Linked DNA regions of Arabidopsis thaliana. The protein of the gene in region 1 interacts with the protein of each later gene in a pairwise test. Each region holds a gene or a part of one and is shown on either strand. Other genes may lie near its edges.

Region 1 (3,755 bases):
AACCAGAAAAAAGGCCTTGGGGTTGTTGTAACTCTAATCTGATAACATTATTGCGTGAAGAAAACAAATAAATTATACAAACAGAGATCTTCTCTAAGAGCTAGTGTTAATACTAACCAACCAGTAGCTAGCTCTATGAAGAATCAATGACCTGAATCAGGCAAGTAAATTATGCCAAACGCATGTATGTTTGTGTCTTTTCAAGCTGCGTTTGCTTCACCATTGAGATCTTGAAAGAAAGATTTGACTGTTTCATAAGTGGACCAGCAAATCGCAGCTGCTGGAGCATGGAAGAGCATTCTTGGTAGCCATCCTCTAGCAAGTCCTCTATAACCGTCTTTCTTCACTATTGTACGGAACACATCGCTTATTGAACTGCTCTTGAAACGGTCACAACCACACACACCCTGAAACATCACCACAAACAAACTTCTCAGAACAAACAAAACAACCCAAATCCTATGAAATAGCTATTGACCAAGTATTCTAAACCACAAATATAGAAACATTATCTATGCGACTTTCACATGTAAATTCAGTAATATTAAGTTTTATGACCATAGTTCTAACAATGCTTGATGCAATCTACATGTTACCTATAAAATCATACTCGTGAAATCACAAAATATCCAAAGAGAAGAAAGAAGATATCTTTCTTCATTCAAGTGATCTATAGGATCAAGAGACAACTACTTAAAGTAGCTTGGCCAATCTATAACCACATTAGCTATCAGATACTTAAAAGTCAGTAGCTTTAGAGATATTTCAATCACCTGACATTGCAACTGCGTCTTAACAACATCAAGCGGAGTAGTTACAGCAGCCGCTAACCCACCAGCCGCAGCTCCAGCAGTAGCATAAATCAACCAACCTTCCTCATCCTCTGCTCCAACAGCATGCTCAGGCAACATCTCCCTCAAACCTCTCTTAACCGCCTCATAAGTAGTGAAATGCACAGCGGTAAACGGAGCATTCATCAACACAGTAGTTCTATACGAAGCGTAAAAAGCACCAAACCCTTCCTCACGCGTTACTCTCTTGATACAATCCCAAACTCCTTTATAAGTTCCATTCCCAATTTGCAACCTTTGCTTAACCATATCCATTGGAGTAAACACAGCATCACTAGATATAGTAGCGAAAACACCGGAAATAGCGTGTGCAGCAGAGTTATTAGGGTTTCCACCGGATAAAAACTTCTTAGAGACTTCATAGAATGAGAAATAAACAGCGTGAGCTGGTCCAGCACCAAGTCCCATAGCCCAAATACCTCTATATAAAGCAGAAGGTCCATCGGTTTTGATAATTGAACGGAAAGCTTGACGGATTCCGATTGGTTTAATCGGACATGAACGAAGAGCTTGCATATGGGTTTTGACTGTATCTACTGGAAACATAGCCATGTGTTCGACTGAGCCAGCGATTGAACCGGCGACCATTAGTTGCCAGAATTTAAGAGTTGTGTTTTGAGCTGGAACGATGATTGCTGGATGAAAATCCGGTGGTTGTGGGATTGGACGGAGATCGGATTCTGGGAATTTGGTTGTTGCTTCTGTTGCCATTGTTTAGAATTGATTGAGAGAAAGGTTTGAGCTTTTAGGGAGATTAGGAGGAAGATGAATCTGAAGGAGGAGAGGTTTGGTTAAATTAGGGTTCCGAGAAGATTGGAGAAATGACCAAATCTGGAGATTTCTCCGACCAGAGAGAGAGGATGCGGCGGTTAAACTAAAGACAAAGCATGGGAGAAACCTCTGCCTTGTCTTGTGGGCTTTAACATCTTTTTCCCCAAGTAAAAATATATTTTTTGCCTTTTTACGTTTTTGCCTCTTTAGTGTTTTTTACCAAAACAAAAACGTACTTTTTTACTTTTTTTTTTTTTTTAAATCGTACTTTAATTTAAGCGATATGAACCTAACCAAAAAAACTTATTAGATTATGTTTATATTATGAATACGAATATTATTTTTTTGTCATCGTAAATTTTTAAAACTTTGGTAGAATTTAAATGTACACAAGTGGAAAAAAATTTATCCCTTGAAAACTAATAAGTGTTATCTATATTATTAATTGAGAAGTATTGTATGAACTACAACATTGTAAGGGTAGTTTAAAATTAAGTAAATGAATTTTTGCATGGGTAGTTTAGTAAATTAACAATCACTACAACAAAATAAATATCTTGGATTTTGTTCTTTTAAAAAATCGACTTTAAAATCAATATATTCATAATTACCCAATCCCTCGATTTTTAAATATACAAATTATTTTTAAATATATTAATCCAAGATGTACCACATGTCAATCCCTCGATTTTTTTATTATATTACAATAACAATATTTAAAATAACAAAATAATTTTTCATTTTACGGAATGAAATTATATGGTGGGATGAGTTTGAGTTGATATTAATAAAGGACGATAATCTACGAGTGAAATTTTAGAATTAATAATTATAACATAATTATATATTCTTAAACATTAAACAAAATAAACAATATTTACAAAATAACTATATCTTAAAATTTGAATTTTTAGTTACAAAAAAATCGACCAAAGGTGTACCACGGAGAAAATTTTACATTATATCATCTAATTGATCAAATTTCAAACAAAAACAATCAATTTATATATACATCAAACTAACAAAAATACACAAATTTTCTAAATATCTCTATATTATTCTACAAATCGAAACAAATCTAACAATCTATTTACTATGCAAAATACAAATAAAATATAAATAATATAAATTACAAAAAATAGCTATTTTATCATAAATAACACTTTACACTTTTTATGCATATTATAATTTATACACTATAATATCTTTCACTAAAAATATATTCCAATACATTTTTAAAAATATGAAACCCCGCACGTATACGTGCGGGTCAGAATCTAGTTATTTATAAACCGATAATTCTTAAAAACGAAGAACTCAAATCAAAAATAAAGTAAAAAAAAAATTGTCCTAAAGCATTAGATATCAAGTAAAATATTAAATTTACTGCAAAATATGTTAAAATATTGGTAGATAAAACATGAGATGTGTGAAAATCATTCCTATTAAGATCAGATTTTAGAATTTTATGCAGAATTGGAGTATTTTCTCTAACAAACTGAATAAAATCTTTACAAATCTACAGCTACAGCTTACACTTACATCCAATATTCTACAGCAAATAATCTACAGCTATAGTGTAACCAATCAGCCAGTAAGCTTTACCAAAATCAATTCATTTCATAAATTATTTTCTATATTTGTCTCCTCACAATTCATTTCCAAAGTCAAACAAAAATTAGGCACACACGAGATTAAGCTCTACCAAAGAGTCTAACAAATGAACTTATAAATAACAGTTTTACAAACAATCTTAAATCTCTACAAAGTTTGAATCTTTAACAAACTTATACAAATACTAATATAGACTTGAATCATTAACAACAATAGAACTCACACGATCTTAGTAATATCTTTAATGAAAGCATCGATGTTAGCATCAGAAGAACCACCTTTCGCAACCGCTCCACGACATATCTCACTGAGATCACAAGTCCTTCTTCTCATCTCTTTCCCTTCTTCACTCTCTCCATCCATAAACCTTTTTACCAATTCCTTGATCTCATCACTCACTATCAACAACTCCATCTGCTTCTTCCTCTCGATCCCCATTCCAACTCTCCACTCCTCAACAATCATCTTAGCATTCAGAAACTGATCCCAAAAAACAGGAAATGTAAGCAACGGTACTCC
Region 2 (3,755 bases), on another chromosome or scaffold:
CTACCAGTTACTCGATGACTCCTATCATTTATTTCAGTGAGGTCTAGTGATTGGCTAGTTACATGTCCATAACTTAAATTCCAATTTGACAATGTATCAATGACAAAACCTTATTTCAGATTTCTACTTTTAGTTCGTACTCATGTTTTAATCCAAATGGTGCGACTGATAAATTTGTATCCACACAATACCACCAAAATTGTAAATCCGCGTTTGCAGTAGGATAATAAATATTACAGATTGTTTCGATTTTGGTTTTCTTTTGTGGGTTTGAAATGTTCCATGGTGTAGTGTACAAGTAATGATGATTTGAAAACACAAACTTTATATGAATAACATGTAAACCAAGCTTATCCCAAACATATGCGATATGATAAATATCATACGGTATATCATTTCTCATAGCACGACACTGAGCGTACCATTTGAAAAATTCAACGATTTCTTCAGATCTTGCTTGAAAATAAAGTTTGAATCTCAAAACTCCGTTCAAAATAGAAGAATATCAAAAACACGATGGATACAGTATAATATCCAAACACATTATTTTTTCGTCCAAATCTATGTGACTATGTTGACTCCGTTCAAATCTATGTGACAATCTGTACTATTGGGAAATTTGAAATGCATTTCCGCATATTTACGTAAATACATTACTAAGCAAAATCACATTCTAGCTGTTTCAACGTTACATATAACTAATCAAATGCAACAACACCTTCTCACTTTGATGACAATCGAACATCCAATTAAAAATTCAACAAGAACAATGCATATGTATGGTAGAAACAATCACAACGAGTTAAAAGGATCGTAACGAATGAATCATGACAGACAATTAAACCAGCATACGCAATTATAAGTCTGAATTCGGAATACCAAACATTTATCAAAATCCAACAAAAGGTTCATAAAACTACTAACTTTAAAGAGATCTCGCTCTTTCCAAAATCCAAAAGACAACAAAAGATGATAAAACTCCATAGAAGATTCAAAAACAGAGTTAAGCAAATAAATTCACCTAACTTAAGCAGTAAGCACAACAGCACCACCAGCTTCCTTAATCTTCTTCTCAGCAGTCTTCGAAATAAGCTTCGCCTTCACAACGAACGGCTTGTTCTCAGGCAAATGACCTTTACCCAAAACCTTGAAGAAACCATGTTGAGTCACATCGATCAACGGAACATTGTCCTTGGTTGATTTCGCCTTCACATCTTCAGGGACGAGTGACCAAAGCTTGTCGAGGTTAACGATTGGGCAGAAGAACTTGTTCCTCAGCTTGTGGAAATACCTCATACCAACTTTACCGAAGTAACCTGGATGGTACTTGTCGAAGAGGATCCTGTGGTGATGCATACCTCCAGCGTTACCACGACCTCCGGGATGCTTACGGTGCTTACCGATACGCCCATGTCCGGCGCTGACGTGACCTCTCTTCTTCCTGTTCTTCTTGAATCTGGTTGTCATTTTCGCCGATCTGCTACACTCTCCTCCCTCCCTTTCTCTCTTTGCGGCTAGGGTTTCTTAAGATATCACTGAGTTTATAAAGACGATAAGGATTTTTACGTTTCCTATTTTACCCTCTAGGGTTTACGACATTTTGGGCTATTTAGTTATAACGCGAGATGGGCCTTTAGGCCCGATTATATCGTAGAGGGGGAAGAGAGATCATCTACCACAACCACATGATTGAACCTTCACGCGCCTTTCTGACGCGCCGGTGTTGTTGTTGTTACCATGTGGTTCATGCCTTCGGTGGTGGATCTCCGTGGGTTCCACCTCGGTTTATTTTGGTTGACACGATTCTTCCTTACGTGACGTCTTTCTTCTTCAATTTCGAAACGACGCGTTTTAATTCTTCTTCTGCATTTCATATGAACCAAGGAAAAAGCTTGAAGCGTCGTGACTCGTGAAGCTTCTTCATCTTTAGTCCACCGAACATAAATGGCTCAGCAAGTACTCGGCTGCACGAGCCGCCCCATCCGCGTTTCTCTTCACCGGTGTTCTGTTATTACCACCAGTGACACTATCAGAAGGAAGAATCTCCGATTCGTTAGAAACCCGAGATTGTCGTTTTCTCTTCAATCTTCAACTAGAAATTATCGTCTGCCTTCGATTAATTGCTCGACGGTGAATGGAGCAGTAGCGGAAACTGCGGAATATTACGAAGGAGAAGGAGATAACGTTTCACTTGCTGAGAAAATCCGGCAATGTATTGATTTCCTCCGGACGATTTTACCAGGTGGAAGCTGGTGGAGTTTCTCCGATGAAGTTGATGGTAGGTTCATTGCTAAGCCTGTGACTGTTTGGCGTGCGTTAAGTCGGATGTGGGAACTTGTGGCTGAGGATCGTTGGGTTATCTTCGCTGCGTTTTCCACTCTTATAGTAGCCGCGGTGCGTGGTTCTTCCTTGGTTATGTATTTGTAGAAGTATTCTGAATCTCTACTTAGAAATTCTTAGTTCTAATGAGGAATCAGAATCGTCCTTTTCTTATACATTTTGTTTACTTGTTTACAGCTTTCAGAGATAACTATTCCGCATTTTTTAACAGCTTCGATCTTCTCGGCACAAAGTGGTGATATCGCTGTGTTTCATCGAAATGTCAAGCTCTTGGTTACGTTATGTGTTACTTCAGGCATTTGCAGGTCAAGATCTTGTATGATCAAACACTTGTCTCTGGTTTTATTTGGTTTCAAGTTGAATTAGAGAGTTACTCTTGCTGTCTAACCAACTTGTTGTTTTTGAGATTCTTTTATAAAAGGATTTCCATCTGACTCTTTGTTCAACTCATAATTTCAGTGGCATACGAGGATGCTTCTTTGGGATTGCTAACATGATACTTGTGAGTTCCTTTTTATTTTCTGCTTAAATCTACTCAGTAGTCTTACCTTCTCAGAACATGATATGATGGGATCTCACCCTACTCTGTAGGTGAAACGAATGAGGGAAACACTATACTCCACTCTTCTCTTCCAGGTCCTGAAAGTTTCTAGCTGTTTTGAATCTTGGTAGCTCATGTTTACCTTTAATATCTTTTTAGCTACTTTCGTTAACTTGGCTGGATTTTGCATCAGGATATATCATTTTTCGACTCTCAAACTGTTGGTGACTTAACAAGCAGACTTGGCTCAGACTGTCAGCAAGTCTCGAGGGTCATCGGAAATGATCTGAACATGATATTTCGCAATGTTCTTCAGGTCCTCTGCTACAATATAATTTCCATCTCGCCTGAAGTGTGTTTTTTGCATGGTTGACTTCTGAATGTATGTTTACCTTCTTTCTTTTAGGGTACAGGGGCATTGATTTATTTGCTAATTTTGTCTTGGCCCCTTGGGCTGTGCACATTGGTGATATGCTGTATTTTGGCTGCGGTTATGTTCGTTTATGGGATGTGAGATTCTACCAAAACTTGTCTCACTTTTATTAAGAATACTAATCTGTGAAGATATAATTGATTATACACCTGGCAGCTGAAACTGATACTTAAGCCATCTGGTCATGTTGTAGGTACCAAAAGAAGACAGCGAAGCTAATTCAGGAGATCACAGCTTCTGCAAATGAAGTAGATTGCTCAAAAACGCTTATCGTAACTTGTCTTATATGCAATGAATTCTTTCGTTAATAACTGCTCTGTGATCTTCAAGGTCGCTCAAGAGACATACTCTTTGATGAGAACCGTTCGTGTATATGGGACAGAGAAGCAAGAGTTTAAAAGGTGCGATCTGTTTCCATGAAAACCATTGACAGTCTCTTTT

Evidence for each region.
Region 2: the proteins of AT2G30160 (region 1) and ABCB26 interact in a protein complementation assay, tested with the Arabidopsis thaliana proteins (one large-scale study listed by BioGRID).

The regions. Positions count from the first base shown.
Region 1 is NC_003071.7:12,875,823-12,879,577, reverse strand, and holds the start of AT2G30160 (Mitochondrial substrate carrier family protein), read right to left. Parts: upstream 1,780-3,755; 5' UTR 1,563-1,779; coding exon 774-1,562; intron 408-773; coding exon 201-407; 3' UTR 1-200. Other genes in the region: AT2G30150 (UDP-Glycosyltransferase superfamily protein), read right to left, coding at 3,456-3,755.
Region 2 is NC_003070.9:26,620,142-26,623,896, forward strand, and holds the start of ABCB26 (transporter associated with antigen processing protein 1), read left to right. Parts: upstream 1-1,757; 5' UTR 1,758-1,944; coding exon 1,945-2,394; intron 2,395-2,517; coding exon 2,518-2,645; coding exon of another isoform or gene 2,646-2,656; intron 2,657-2,799; coding exon 2,800-2,842; intron 2,843-2,931; coding exon 2,932-2,976; intron 2,977-3,074; coding exon 3,075-3,197; intron 3,198-3,287; coding exon 3,288-3,391; intron 3,392-3,507; coding exon 3,508-3,562; intron 3,563-3,644; coding exon 3,645-3,715; intron 3,716-3,755. Other genes in the region: AT1G70590 (F-box family protein), read left to right, coding at 1-18; AT1G70600 (Ribosomal protein L18e/L15 superfamily protein), read right to left, coding at 1,027-1,467.